4 linked regions of the Rattus norvegicus genome follow. The protein of the gene in region 3 interacts with the protein of the main gene of each other region in a pairwise test. Links are inferred from orthologs where the notes say so. Each region holds a gene or a part of one and is shown on either strand. Other genes may lie near its edges.

Region 1 (3,565 bases), on a different chromosome or scaffold from region 3:
ATCTGTGTGGTTGATTTCTTATGAGGAAGTGAAGTTACATTGTATTGTTTCTCTTGGGCTCTTTGGTGAATTTCTCAGAGTACTAACCAAACTTTTAAAAATACTTGGTATGGAAAAATTTACCTGTATCTGAAAGGTGAAGGTTTGATTTCATTTGTATTTCATTTTTGAAAAATTAAATTTTAAAATGACTAAATAAGTGATTGACATAATGCCCATTATGGAAAGTTAGGGTTTATATTGTGGTTTTGTATATAATACCTTGATGATATGCTGTTTGCCTAGAGCACCATTAAAATCCAGAGAGCTCAGACTTCCTGATAAGAATGAAAGTTTGTACCACTTTAAATTTTAAAACCGAGAAGTTAAACTTTGGTGATCACCGTCAGTCCGTCCGCATGATCTGCCATGGCATCCTGGCAACCTGAGGATTTGGTGGTGTTCACCAGCTTGCTGTACGATATTCTTGTCTACTACCTTTAACCTCAACCTAAACAGGTTTTAGATCTGCTAGAACTTAGAGCTGTAAGTTAGGGAGACATATGTAGCAGCACTTGTAATAACAGTGTCCCAGAGAAAAACAAAGAAGATGGAGGTGGTGTGTGCTGAAGATTTGGAAATCAAAAGCACGTTTAGGAAACAGGGAGGGGTGGTGAGGCGGCTCGGTGAGTGACAACGCCTGATGACCCAAGTTGGATCCCTAGAACCCTATAGTGTAAGAAGAGACCCGGCCCTCACACATGCATGCACACCCAAGTATGCATGCATACAAACATACATATAGACAGGCAGACAGACAGATTGAATAATTGTTGTCTGGTTGGGGTAGTCATTCTAAAAGAAGTAGGATAGGGCTTGCCCTCTGGAGACAGACAGGTAGGTCTGTAAGTTTAAGGCCAGCCATAAAGTGGCCACACTTACTATAAACTGTATAGATAGAGGAAATCTGCTTTTAAAAAAGAGCAAAAGGGAATGAAGCTGTAGCTCAGTTGGGAGTGTTTGCCTAGTTTCCAGGAAGGCCTGTGTTGAAGCCCCTGTGTATAAACTGGGTCTGCTGCTCAGTCAGCACTCAGCGGTGGAGGGAGGAGAACAGGAGTCCAGGTTCATCATCGGCTGCAGAGGGCACTGGAGGCAGCCTGGGCTCCCTAAGACCCCTCAGCAAACAGTAAGCACACTGATTGTGTTAGACTCTTAACTGCTTTAAGGATGATTTTATCTCAGCCAAAGGTTTGTTACAGAGACCAGAAAAGGTGTCTTTGTTGCAAGTACCATGAATTTTAATTTGGATGTTTGGTGCATTTTTCTTGTTTCTGGTGTCAGAGCCAAAGGACAAAGCAAAGTACAGTCCTCGCTCCAGTCATCGACCTGAAGCGAGGAGGCTCCTCAGATGACCGACAGATCGTAGACACGCCACCTCATGTGGCAGCTGGGCTGAAGGTAAGCCGTACCCACCTGTGGTTTGAAGCATTTTCCACGTTTCTTTATTTTACATGTATGTTCCTCTCTTTATGAGATTTATCTCATGTGTGTGTGTGTGTGCGCGTGTGTGTGCGTGTGCGCGCGCGAGTGCTTGAGCGTGCTTGCTCACTCATGCACACACCCATGGAGGCCAGAGGAGGCCTTAGATCTCTTAGGGCTGGAGTTAGGCATTTGTGAACCTTGTGTGGGTGCTGATAACCGAGTTCCCAGCCATCCTCTGATAGAGCAGTAAGCACTGTAAACCTCTGTCCATCTCCAGCCCCCACAAGGGTCTCTTCAGTAGGCCACTGAAAGCTAGTATTATTACCTAAAATAGTTTATTATGGAAACTTCAGGAATGAAAGATGGGTAAAAATGAAAAGTCTATCTTTTTAATCATACATACCTTCTATGCATTACAAAATTACATAATTTTAGAATATCTTTCTGTAACTTCTCGGCCTTCTGCTCTCTAATTTGTGTTTAGTGATTGTCCATTTCTCCTTTTCAAAACAATAGAACTACACGGTCATTTAAACATACTTTTATGAGTGTGTGAGTGTGTTGTCCTCATGTTTCAGTACACTGCATGTGTTCCTCTTGCCTGTGCGGATGCATCCCTAGGATGGTGGTGGGACAGTTGGGGGCCACTGTATGTGTGATGGGAGTGAGACCTGAGTCCTCTGGAAAGCCAGTCAGTGACTTTATTAATGCCTATCTCCAGTCCCTGTATGGCCAGTGTTAATAGTTTCAGTGGATTGCCTCCAGTGGATTAGCTATAACTTCATTCTTCTAATGTAAACCGTAAGGTTATTTCTAACTGTCTGTTACCAGTGTTAGAAGTCATTTTAAAGAAAGGCAAAAGGGGGGGGGGGGGCGTAATGCTGCATGTTGTTAATAGAACGGGCTCCTATTATGAAGCCGAAGGCTTGGGAGTTGTTCATGTCATCCTTGGCTATGTGTCTGTAGCACTGTGAGACTCTGGAGGGAGCACGGGAAGTCTGGAAAATGGTAATCCATTTTCACATGTACAGATGTCACTCAGATGCCAGTTTAAACCTCACTTAAGACTTACCGTGATTGTCAGTGCTTTTCCCAACATAAGCTTTTGCCTAACTGCCAGGTTGTGCTGCCATCTGGTGAGGGGAGGCCTCAACTCACCAGGAAATAAAGGATCCTTAGATAATCTGGAAGGCCTCTCTTGCCTCATCCTGGGACCTTTGCTTCTCTGATAACCCTGCAGGATGTGATACGGCACTCACTCAGGTGTTCTTGTTCCCCAGGACCCTGTGCCCAGTGGGTTCTCTGCAGGGGAAGTCCTGATCCCCTTGGCTGATGAATATGACCCAATGTTTCCTAACGACTATGAGAAAGTGGTGAAGCGCCAGAGAGAAGAGCGGCAGAGGCAGCGGGAGCTGGAAAGACAGAAGGAAATAGAGGAAAGAGAAAAGTAAGCTTCATCTTTTTTGGGGGGGAGGGGCGGTCTTTTTTTCGGAGCTGGGGACCGAACCCAGGGCCTCGAGCTTCCTAGGCAAGTGCTCTACCACTGAGCTAAATCCCCAACCCAGGCTTCATCTTGATGTGGAAACAAGTGTGCATTAGAATCTGAGTGAGTTTTAGTATGGTCTCTGGGCCTGAGGTTATGGCTTCAGTCACCAAGAGTTTCCTTGTTTTCGTTCCATCCCACATTGATAGCACACTTGAGGAAATGTATGTGTAGACTCTGAAGACCTAAAGCGTAGACTTTGTGTGGATTAGAAAAAGAACTTAGAAAGCCCACTGGTATCCAGGTGTGGTGGTTCATGGCTGTAATCCCACCCACATAGTGTTCAAGGCCAGCCTGTTTCAAAATCAAAACAACAGAAACCATTGTTGAAAGTTTTGCAGGGTTCGTGACTGCTAGAATCACAATATTTACAGTATTTCAGTGCTGTTCCTTTACTATATTTTGGTTTTGGTTTTTTGAGACAGGGCTGCTCTGTAACTGGCTGTTCTGGAAATCATTCTGTAGACCTCAAATGTAGAGATCCACCTGCCTCTGTCTCCTGAGTGCTAGGATTAAAGGCTTGGGCCACTACACCTGGCTTCCTTTCCTATTTTTGAGCCA
Region 2 (3,565 bases), on a different chromosome or scaffold from region 3:
GGGTTGATTGTGTAGCTTAGTGGTAGAGTGAGTATATGTCTCCATGTATAGGACATGAGTTCTGTTTCTAGTAGTGTAAACATCTCACCATGTTTCCAGATGGGTTTTTATCCTTGGTGATCATTTTTGTAGGAATTCTGAAATCTGACCTTGAGATGGCTCAATGGGGTAATGTTTGCAACACAAGTAAAGGTAGGCCACTCCTCAGAGCTTGCTGATTGGCCGGCTTGCTAACATAACCATAGTGGTGAGCTCCAGGTTCAGTGCAAGACCCTGCATCAAAGAATGAGAATGACAGTGATAGAGGAGGGTACTTACTCAGTGTTGGCCTCTGGTCTCCACGTGACCTGACCATAAACATGTGCATGTTCTTCCCCTACCTTCTCATGCTTTACAGTGAAGGGACAGGTCACAATCTTGGTCTTGGAGAGAGCCGGTATTCAGGTCTCTGCTAGGCCACATGCTCAGGAGGCAGGCAGTGGGTGTCTGCAGCCAAGTCTGACCGAGTAAAAGGAGCATTTTCTCTGTAGATGAAATTACCTTCAAAAGGCTCTGCCAGCTGGACTACATGACAGTCAGGCTCTTCTGCTGAAATCTGTTTCTTGTGTTGGAGGAGCTAATTCTAAAATTAACAGGAAGCCAACTTAGAGCGCTGGAATTTCTTGGAATAAGTACATCTGCCTTTGCATGTCTTTTTAAGCGTTCCCTGATGTGTAGAGACCCATGGCTTAGGAGGCAGTACTGCAAGAGACAACCAGACCTATTTTTCTAGAAGCCAGTAGTCTCCATGGGCATTTTCCAGGCATGGTGACCTGATCTGGCAGGACCCAAATCTGTATCCATCCTGTATATGCATGATGTGCATTACATAGGAGGTAGGAAAATGCTTCTTTCCAAAGCATGAGGTTCTGCTTGGACTAATACACAGTCAAATTGAGACCTCATGGTATTAGTCACACTACAGGGTGTAACCAGAATTTGCTAGAGGCTAAGCCTGTGTCATAGATTTGTTGTGATGGCTTTCTTAACCATAAAGTTGCCTGCATCTTGTCTTCTGCTCTGTTTAATTGACAGAGCCAGGGGTATGAAAGTCTAGAGAAAGAGTGGCTTGTCTGGCACGAGTACCTGGAGCCTTGGCTTGGGACACCTCTGAATGCAGGCTTTTGGCCAGAGAATCCGGGAAAGCCCCATGGGCATTTCCTGATAGGCCAGTCATCTCCAGTGTTGGTGGAACTGCCCCTTCTACGTTCCACAGTAGTAACTGTCCTCTGTGTTTGTGGGCATTGTATTCAAGAGTCCTGAGCATCTGTTTAAATGCTACTTTAGTAAACCTTTTCAGTATTTGAAAATACAGTGGAAAAGTGGTATTAGCCACATTTGACATTTGGGAAAGTCAAAGCAACAAACCCTGTGGAATCCTGCTGTATGTGAAACTAGTGAACGTGACACTGAAGGTGTCCGTATCTCGTGCCTTTTAAGGCTTGTGTGCCTTTTAGCTGACACAGATGTTATATGTAAGTGTGATACTTGAAGCTAGGTTTGGTGGCACACTTAACTGTACCTAGAAATAAAGGCAGGCAAATCAGGAGTTCAGGGCCAATCCTTAGCCTGGACTTGTGAGACTGTATCTCAACAAATAAAAGAAAAAACTACGGCCTCGAGTTTTATCTACTGGAACTTTAAAAATCAGGATTCTCCAAATATTCTTTCATTATCCTGGAGGATGGCATTCCTTTAGTGTGGATATAGTGTGGATATATATCTGTATACATGACATGAACACACACATACACATACACATGGATCAGAGTACATCTTGGTGAGAGTCAGTTCTCCCTTTTACCAAGTAGAACCAGGAGGTCAAACATAAGAGTGTCCATCTTGTCAGCAAAGATCTTTGCCCACTCAGCCACACACCATGCCTTATCTAGTATATGTTCAGAACATGGAAATCTTGCAGAGCAATTTTTCCTTCATGAGCCTCCCAGTAATAAATGAAATTACTTTAGGCAGTATCTGAACAAAGCATTAATACTTATTAGCTGTTTTGGGTTTTTTCCCTTTTGTTTTTAAGGAGCTTGGTACCAAATCCAGGGTCTTGTGGACCTTAGATAAGCACTCTACACTTATGCCACATTCTCAGCCAAAAAAATAAATGTTACAAGAACTAAGCAATTGCTCAGCCGATTGTGGGTATTACAGAAGTGGGGGGTGGGGTAAGGAATGGCTGTGTTGGAAGCAGCCAGGCTCACATTGTCAGATGACGCTGACTGATTCCTAGATGCTCAAGGAGCAGTTCTGCTATCCTGAGGGATGGACTGGTTTGGTGAGTGGATGGTGACAAAGGTAGTGAAATAGAAGGAGATTTGGGTCCGAGTAGTCACAGATTGTGGGATTCATTCTTTGTTGTATTCTCTTATTTTAATTTTTTTACAGAAATGGGCCTGAGTTTGAAGCTAGGATTCGACAGAATGAGATCAACAACCCCAAGTTCAATTTCTTAAATCCCAATGACCCTTACCATGCCTACTACCGCCACAAGGTCAGCGAGTTCAAGGAGGGGAAGGCTCAGGAACCCTCAGCTGCCATCCCCAAGGTTATGCAGCAGCAGCAGCAAGCCACACAACAACAGCTGCCCCAGAAGGTTTGGAGCCCAGCCCCTCTTTGTGGGTTAGGGAGGAAGTAAGAACAGGTAGAGTAGGCAGGCATAATTATCTCTACTGTCCACAGTCACAACCACCAGGGGCAGAAGTGAAGTTACCCTCAGCTTCCAGAAGCACTTCTTGAACACTGGTTGGTGAAGCTCTGTCCTCCAGGCTCAGATCTTAAAGAGCCCAGCAGAACAACTGTTTAAGCAAGGCTTGTGATTTATTGATCCAAGGAGTGAGGGTTAATTGTAGCGCATGAGCAACCTTTTAGCCCAGCTGAGCTGAAGGAAGTGATGTAGCCTTGTGTCATCTCTTCCCTTCTGTTGGGGCTGGGGCCCAGGAGTGCTGACTGACGGTCAAGAGTGTCAGTGAAGACAGAGGACCACTGCCTTCTGTCTGCTGGGTGGAACTGGCCTGGTCTCATCATTTTGCACCTTTCTCAGACTTTTGTGGAAAAGGCAGCTTTTTATTTGGCAGTGAGAAATAAAAGTTGAAGTCATGTTTGAAGCCTTGTATTACAATTGCTGCTTGTATGGCCTAAGGCTGCTGTGGTTTTCTCATGTGTAAAAAGTACTCACAGTGCCTGTTCTGTCTCCTGGTTCTCTTGGAAGACGTCGATGTATTTTTTTGCAGTAGAAATCACTGTACACACATAGACCTTACTGTATTTCCAGCCTCTTAAGTCAGATTTTACAGCTGATTTCCTAGATATATTTGCCACCTTTTTAGGCCTTTGATGTCAGAGATGTAGACTGTCTCACCTGAAGCAGATTAGGGAGTTGAGGCACAGTTGCCAGTCTTAAGCCAGTTTCAGTGATGCTCACAATTAATAAAACATTAGAGTCTGTGGCTGTTGTGCTTCATGGTTTACTGCTGTTGTGTTTTGCTCTGCACTCTGTCTTAGGTCCAAGCCCAGG
Region 3 (4,365 bases):
GACAGCAGGACATATATAAAACTTCCATTAATGACCTTGGATTTTAAGTAATTTTGAGGTTTAACTTTTAATCTACTGTGGACTGTAACCTAATTTTTAAAATTCTGCCACCACCACTTCACTTCCAATCAAACAGCAAACCCTTCCCAGCAGAGTCCTTTAGTGGTGGTAAATTACAAGAGCCTTTGTTTTAAGAGAGCTCTCTAAAAACCAAACAAGAAAGGATACTGAAGGGAAGGATTGGATTCAACAAAATGGGTGAACTGTAAATACTTTCCGAGCCACTTTTTGCTTAAACTATTTTGTACCTATAAAAAACAAAACCACAATTTTAGGGAAAGGGAACTATGACATTATGGTGAGAGATCATGCTACAAAAAAGCAACTGGTTTACAATACCTGCAGTGTTCTCCACTGGGGCCCGTACAGAGAGGCAGATAGCATTCACCTCATCAATGAGCAAGAACAGCAGCTGAGAAGTGGGCTGCTGAGCTAAGGCCTACTTGCTGCGAAGAGCAAGCCCAAACAAGAAGCTACGAATGCAGGACTGGCCAAGCAAATCACAGTTTACATAGTTATGAAAGCATAGCTCATCGCACCTGTTCCCAAGACTAAAATCTCAGACTTTCCACAGGTTTGTCACTCAGAATAAGCAGTAACAATCTGAAAATTGCACCTGGATGCAGAACGTGTATTTACCTATATAAGCTCTTTCTTGTTCCCGAGTCAGGCCAGGGGGGATAACCGTAGGCATGCCTGGAATCACTGTCTTCTGTTCCATTGTGTCTTGGTTCCATCGGCTCCTCTTCCTCTTCTTACTTGGGAAGTCTAAAGACAGACAGAGTCTATCAGGTGGAAATATGAACCAGAAGAGTGACTACCAGCAAGCAGTTCACAATAAGACTAAACAGAAATCACCTAAAGTTTAAAAAGGAAAGAAATCTCAGAGGTCAGAGAAATCAAGCAGCCATTATAAAGGTTTTTGGTCCTCCTGTCAGAAAAGTTACGGAATAGTTCACATTTACTTTTTTTCCTAAAAGAACTAAAGAATGTAATAAGGTGTAAATTCCTTTTGTGGTGTTGGCAACGTCAAAGTCTTTACATATGCTGGGTAAGAGCTCTTCCACTGAAGCACATCTCCAATTCTTTGGGTCTTTTGTTTGGTTGTTTTTTGAGACAAGAGTTCCTTTACAGAACCCAGGCTGACATAAACTATGCAGACCAGAGATTCACCTGCCTCTACCTCCAGAGTGCTAGGATTAAAAGCATGAGCCATTATACCCTTGCTTCTAAGTCTTAATGTACAGAAACCCAGAATGGAAGCATTGAGCATATACATATGATCAATTCTAAATGTCTTAAAGGACAGAAAAGACAATAAAGATGAAAATAGGGCCACAAAACATTGAAGTCAAGCTCCAAGAGCAGACAAGTCTCTTGCTACACATTACTGTGGGAAACATCTTGTCCTCCAATATGACTATTCTCACAGGTGGAAAGATCAGCATTCAGTTTTCCTGACCAATGAATGGACACTTGTCATCAGAACTCTGATATTTTACCACTCAAGATTTTCTACTTCTCAGATTACAGGCCCAGAGAAAAAGCCTTTTAAAACAGCACGGGGAAAGCTGGTCACTCTGAGAACCTTCTAGAAAACAAAAGGAGATAAACAGCCTTAATAAATGATCGAACTCAAACATCACTAGCAGCCTTCCGAATTCGCCTCATTGTGAAAGGAGATACTCTTGTCACGGGACTAATCTCCCCTTTCAGGCTCCTAGAACCCATCAAAGGAACCACTCATACCACATCGTTCCGTGGACCTGACCCTCCTGTCCTCCATAGCAGGAGCTCAGGGGGCAACAGGTGGCCGCTTCAAAAACTACCAGAATTGCGCCACAAAGCCTGAACTCCTCACTGCGTCTGCGCAAAGGACGCTTCCTCCCGCCCTTCTACTCCTCATGATGCGCGTGCGCACTCGAAGCCTCCCAAACCAGGCCGCGCGTTCCCTGTGGCGCGTCCGTCCAGGCCTCCCGTGCACGCGCGCGCGTCCTTGCCGCGTACAACCGCGGCGCCGTGCCCCTCCGTCGGCCGGTCCGGTTCGCCCGACGCCTCTCGTGCTCTATCGGCTCAACTCACCTCCGCCGCCACCGGGCTGGCCCGGCTGCAGGTCCTGGCGCGGAGGCGACACTCGCTGAGAGTGCGGCGGCGCGGGGGCGGCTGCTGTGGCGGGTACGAGGTGGCTGGGGGCGGCGGCGGCAGCAGCACCGCCACTAAGGACAAGGCCCTGGTTAGGACCCCCAGCGATCCCACCGGCGGCGGCGGCCCGAACGCCATTAGGCTCGACCCGAAGCTGCCTTTGGGCCCAGGAAGTGGGGAAAGGCCTGGCAGGCCCAGCTTACCCAGCGGCGTGGCGTTCGCTCCGGTCGCCATGGCGCCCCAGGGGACCGGCACCAGCGGTTCCTCGTCCTCCGCGGCGGCTTCTCCTTCACGAACCTTCGCGGGTTGGGGGGAGGGGACCCGACTACGCTCCCGAAGAGCGCGGGGAGCCCGTCCTCTCACGCGGCGGGCGGCGGCGGCGCCAGACGCACAAAGAGGGAGGAGAGAGGACGCCGCGGGGGCGGGTTGGGGGCGGCGGGGCCGCGGCCTGGATTGGGCCGGCCCGAGGTGAGGTCGGAGTCAGCGGCCTCCGATTGGCGGAGCACTAGTTCTTTTCAATACGCGTCGGGATTGGCCGAACCGTTAGGCCAGGCGACGAAATGGCGGCGGGGCCGAGTGAACTGGGAGGTGTCGCAGCGCGCACTTCTTGTTACTGCGCGGACTGAGCTCTGAGGCCAGAGTGGCGGGGGATAGGATGGGGCAAAGTCTATGACGTAGAGAGAACGTTTAGCTCATTGGCTAAAGAGGATGGAGGTAAGCGCCTCGGCGTCGTAGTGCCACGGGATTGGCTGAAACGACTCCCTTCCCCCAGGGATCAGTCGCTCGGGAAGGGAGAAGCCGGAACGAAGGCGGAGGGCAGGAGGTACGCATGCGTAGGGAGGGCACGCGGTCTCTCCGCCCCTTACACCAGGGGGACCAGAACGGAAGCCCTAAGTGACGTTAGTCATTGTGTTAGAGGTAAGGAGGGACCACGGGGAAGGGGTGGGCTCGAGTTGACGAACCTGATAGGTCGACGCCGCAGGTAGAGAAGAACTTCCTGTTTTCTCTGGAAACTAGTGTTACAGAATGACTAAAATAGGGTAGTTGCGTAAGTTTAAAGATTTTATTTCCGGTCTTGGTGGCTCATACCTTTAATCCCAGTACTCAGGAGGCAAAGGCTAATTTCTGTAAGAAAATACCTGGTGATGGAACAGCACTTTCATCCTCAGATGAAAGACAACGTAGCCAAGTAGTAGCCTGTCACCGAGAACTTGAGAGGTGGATACGGGAGAACATGAGTTTGTGGCTAGCCTGGGGTACAGAATATCTGTCTCAAGAAAGTTTAAAAAAAAAAAAAAGGTTCAATGGCACCTGCCTGTAATTCTAATTCTTATAAAGTAAAATTAGGAGCTCAAAGTTATTAGAATGAGAGAAAGTCAATTCAGAAGTTAAGTGTGCACTTCCATCGAAATCTCAGTGTGTTGGGAATGTGATTAAGTTACCTTAAAATTACATACCCATGAAAATGGAAGGGAACTTGTAAATGAAACTGAGGCCAAACATGCCTTTCCATAAAATAAATGTAAAAATAATGAAAACACTTCTTGCCAGAAAAAAACAGGCTAGTGCAACATAATAGAACTTAGAATAGATAGGATTCTCAGAAAGCAAGCTATTTCAACCCAGTAGGGGGAAAGATGTTTAAAAATAATTAGAGTGGCTAGAGAAATAGCTTATCAAATAAGAGCATGCACTGGCTACTCTTCAGAATCCAGGTTTGATTCTTGTAATCCACATGGTGACTCACAACCATCTGTAACCTCAGTCCCAGGGCATCAATCCAAAGCCCTATTCTGGCCTTACAGGCACTGCATGCATATGGAGCATAGACTTACATGCACACAAAACACTCAAATATATAAGACATAAATATATTTTTTTAAATGATGTAGAAAAATCTGAAGACATGTAGAAACCAGGGTAATCTAGGAATTGAGAGACTACAAAGACAAACTCAAGTCCGGTGGGTGGTACAAGTCAACAGACTATGACAGATAGGGAGGAAATGGTCCTACAATAGAGAAAGAACAAATGTCTGGGCTGAAAATACAATTCCAGAGCTCTTGCCTGGCATAGGCAACTCCCAAACTCCACCTGCAGACCTGTAAAAGTGGAAGAAAAACCAACTGTCTAATACCCAAAGAGCCTTTAAAACTAAGTAGA
Region 4 (3,565 bases), on a different chromosome or scaffold from region 3:
AGGAGAAGAAAATATTTGGTGATTGAAATAGCAAATACAGGGCTGTTTTTAAAAAAAGCTATATGCAGAGTTGGGGTGTGGCTCAGTGGCAATGCTGTTTGTCTAGCCTGAAAAAGGCTGAGTTAAATCCCCACTACCACAAAGATGTATGCATGTGATTTTTTTAAACTATATGAACAGTTCAAAATAGGGGCCTGAAAAGATGATTCAGCAGTTAAGGGCACTTGCCATTCTTGCAGAGGACCTGAGTTCAATCTCATCATCAACATGGCAGCTCACAGCCACCTATAACTCTCAATCTAAGGAGTTCACACCTTCCTCCAGCCTCCAGGGGCATCAGGCACACACACATCAATACACATGCAAGCAAAACACTCACACAGGTAAAATAAAAAACCTATCTTTACAATGTATAGACTGTCCATGCAGTGATGGTGCAAGCCTTTAATCCTAGCACTTGGGAGGCAGAGGCAGATGGATCTCTGTGAGTTCGAGCCCAGTCTGGTTCAGAGTAAGTTAGTTCTTGGACAGTCAGAGTTTCACAAAGAAACCCTGTCTCAGAAGAACAGAAATAAGAAAAAAGAAAAAGAAAAAAAGAAAAGAAAAAACACATATACTAATTGCTCATTATAAAAGGATTTTTAATGACATTTTCATAAATGCATAGCATATTTAATATAATTAAAATTACTTAATTATGATGCACAGACACTCAACAGATCTGATCCATTTCTGCATAATTTCTGTATCTTTTATGCAACCCCCAAGAAAGTTGTAACAAAACTATCTGATACAGAATCCAGTTTTTCAAATGTATGTTGGTTCTATGATGACAACTCTGGGGAGGGTGCCCATGCCACAGTTGCATGTGGTGGTCAAGACAAGGGAGTCAGTTCTCACGCTCCACCACCACATGAGTCAGAGAGTGAACTCAGGCCTTTCGCACTGAACCCTCTCACCTTTCTGTGCTTCCTATGATGTACTTTCTGTACAGCATACGCCCTTCACTGTATACATTATAAAGTACAACGAGATGTTTCAACACGTGTGCTTTATAGTTTTGTTTTGTTTTAAAACAGTATCTATGAGGTCAACGAGGGCCCGGAACTATCCTCTTTCCTCAGATTCCCCAGTACTAGGATTACAGACATCACCATGCCCAATTAACTTAACCTTTTTTTTTTTAAAGATATTTATTTATTTTATGTATGTGAGTACACTGTCACTGTCTTCAGACACAGCAGAAGAGGGCATCAGATTCTATTAGAGATGGTTGAGGACCACCATGAGGTTACTGGGATTTGAACGCAGGACTTCTGGAAGAGCAGACAGAGCTCTTAACTGCTGAGCCATCTCTCCAGCCCTAACTTACCCTTTCTATTAAACTAAAAAAGGAAAAATCCCAACATCTCATCACAACACCACCAAAGAGTTCTTTTTACCATCATACTTACTGGTGCCATCTCCATGTTATTTATCTGGGCCTCATGAAAGCCACCATCAGACATAACTTCTTCTTCTGTTTCTTCTTCTGCTGTAGCAACATTTCTTCTCTTGAATAACTGAAAAGTATAAGAATGTTAGTCACATAATTTTAACACAAAGGAATTCAACACCTTTTTAGTTCTAAAGCTTTGTTTGTGCTGCCTTTAGTGTGTTTCCTAGTGAGAAAGACTTTAGAATTCTTTCTCTACAACCTTACAGTTGAATCAATTAACTACCACACTATCTATGCCAGTTCTCAAGAGAAACCTGATACTGCATGAAATAAATGTGGTGGTGGTGATGATGACGACGACGACGACGACGACAACAACAACCCACAGGGATGAGAACAACTTTGGGCATGTTGAAGCCATCTCTTTCAACACCTGTTTCAGGCAGAAGGCAGTCTTAACATTTCTTCAGGAAAAAATGACAAAGACGCTATCAAACGCTATCAAAATGATCGGACACTTCATCTTAACAGTCTTCAAGGACAGTGTATAGAGGGCTCTAGAGCTGTCAATCTCCAGGAGTCAATGACAGCAAAGGATGACTATATGAACAGTGTCTTTTAAAGCCTCATTAATTTTCCGAGGCAATACTTTATATTGTCTATGTCTTCAAAGCCTACTACTAAGCTTGCACCACTCGTCACAATCTGAACTAGCTAAAAATTAACTGTAACAAGTGGCCACCATATTGGACAATCAGCTCAAAAGTTTAGGAATGCGGAGCGATAAAAGCAGTGTCAGACGCAGCTAGACCCTGAAACTCTACAGAACACACTTTCAAAATTACTGGTTCAGGTGATGTCAACCACCTATGCAACTCTGGATAAGGACTAGGACAAGGAATTTATAAAATGCTTAGAATGGAGCTGGGCCCTCGGGAGAGAGAAGCATATCAATCTTTGTGAGTTCAAGGCTAGCCTGGCCAGCCAGAGCTACACAAGGAGACTACCTCCACAAAAATGCTTAGAATGGTACCTGGTACAGCAAATATTCAAGAGTTAACTATTATCCACACTTCAAAATATTAATTGGTTCAGTTCACTAATTTAGAACTGTGTAGTCATTTACAACAAAAAATTAACATGCTAATTTTCCTTGTATAGTCAATAAAATTTTGCAAACTAAAAAAAAATATGACCTTTCTATAAGACACAGAAAAGTGACAGAGTGAGGCTTTTCCATGCCTGTAACCTCAAAAATAAAACCCTGTTGTGGTGGGTGTAGTGGCACGCACTTTAATCCCAGCATTCAGGACAGAGGAAGGCAGGACTGCTCTATGTAGACAATTCTAGTCCAGTCAGGGCTACATAAGCAACGTAGCCAGTGCTTACAAAAAAAGAAATGAAAGAAAGAAAAGAGGAAGGGGAGGTTATGGTAAGGGAGGGAAATATGTAAATTACAAGGAAAGAAGACACAAGCTAGCAAAGCTTTACACACACTCAGAAATTAAGTACAGCAGGAGAGTTTAAAAGGAAGAAAAGAGCAATCAAGATCATCTATAAAGTTTGCTGTCTGATTTCAAAGAATTGTTTAATTAAGCCTACCACAATGAATAATTTAAAAAAAAAACAACATTTATCATTATAGACTTCAGAATTGGGAGAAATATATAAAAAGAAAATAATATACAAAGAAGCAACAGTAGCATTTGAAAACCAGTATGAAGGAAAACAGTTTCCATATTCTAAGAGACTCTGCTTGAGGGGCTGAGGTAGAAAGACTGACAAGAGTTCCACAGTCTACACAGTGACTACCAGACCGGTCAGAACTATCAGGCAAGACCCACGTCTCCTTTTCAAAAGTCTACTCTACAACTAACTGCAGCAAAAGGATGAAGTTAATGCTTCTAGAAAAGTGGTCCTCACATGTGAGTCTCCACCCCTTTGCGGGTCAAAGGACCCTTTCACAGGGGTCACCTAAGTCCATCAGGAAATACAAATATTTACAACATGATTCATAACAGTAGCAAAATTGCAGTTACAAAGTAGCAACAAAAGAATTATACAGTTGGGTTCACCACAACAGGAGGAATTGTATTAAAGGGTGGCAACATTAAGATAGTTGAGAGC

What was found. The genes of interacting proteins can lie anywhere in the genome.
Region 1: the proteins of Sf1 (region 3) and Rbm17 interact in binary tests that used the Homo sapiens proteins (3 or more experiments, as listed by UniProt). The link is inferred for Rattus norvegicus from reciprocal best matches to the Homo sapiens genes SF1 and RBM17.
Region 2: the proteins of Sf1 (region 3) and Sf3a1 interact in binary tests that used the Homo sapiens proteins (3 or more experiments, as listed by UniProt). The link is inferred for Rattus norvegicus from reciprocal best matches to the Homo sapiens genes SF1 and SF3A1.
Region 4: the proteins of Sf1 (region 3) and Kpna1 interact in binary tests that used the Homo sapiens proteins (3 or more experiments, as listed by UniProt). The link is inferred for Rattus norvegicus from reciprocal best matches to the Homo sapiens genes SF1 and KPNA1.

The regions. Positions count from the first base shown.
Region 1 is NC_086035.1:71,849,918-71,853,482, forward strand, and holds part of Rbm17 (splicing factor 45), read left to right. Parts: intron 1-1,320; coding exon 1,321-1,437; intron 1,438-2,741; coding exon 2,742-2,908; intron 2,909-3,565. UniProt on the Homo sapiens protein: Splice factor that binds to the single-stranded 3'AG at the exon/intron border and promotes its utilization in the second catalytic step. Involved in the regulation of alternative splicing and the utilization of cryptic splice sites.
Region 2 is NC_086032.1:83,257,948-83,261,512, forward strand, and holds part of Sf3a1 (splicing factor 3A subunit 1), read left to right. Parts: intron 1-2,436; coding exon 2,437-2,644; intron 2,645-3,552; coding exon 3,553-3,565. UniProt on the Homo sapiens protein: Component of the 17S U2 SnRNP complex of the spliceosome, a large ribonucleoprotein complex that removes introns from transcribed pre-mRNAs.
Region 3 is NC_086019.1:213,097,739-213,102,103, reverse strand, and holds the start of Sf1 (splicing factor 1), read right to left. Parts: upstream 2,824-4,365; 5' UTR 2,437-2,823; coding exon 2,406-2,436; intron 835-2,405; exon of another isoform or gene 829-834; coding exon 700-828; intron 1-699. UniProt on the Homo sapiens protein: Necessary for the ATP-dependent first step of spliceosome assembly. Binds to the intron branch point sequence (BPS) 5'-UACUAAC-3' of the pre-mRNA. May act as transcription repressor.
Region 4 is NC_086029.1:78,259,590-78,263,154, forward strand, and holds part of Kpna1 (importin subunit alpha-5), read right to left. Parts: intron 1,563-3,565; coding exon 1,455-1,562; intron 1-1,454. UniProt on the Homo sapiens protein: Functions in nuclear protein import as an adapter protein for nuclear receptor KPNB1. Binds specifically and directly to substrates containing either a simple or bipartite NLS motif.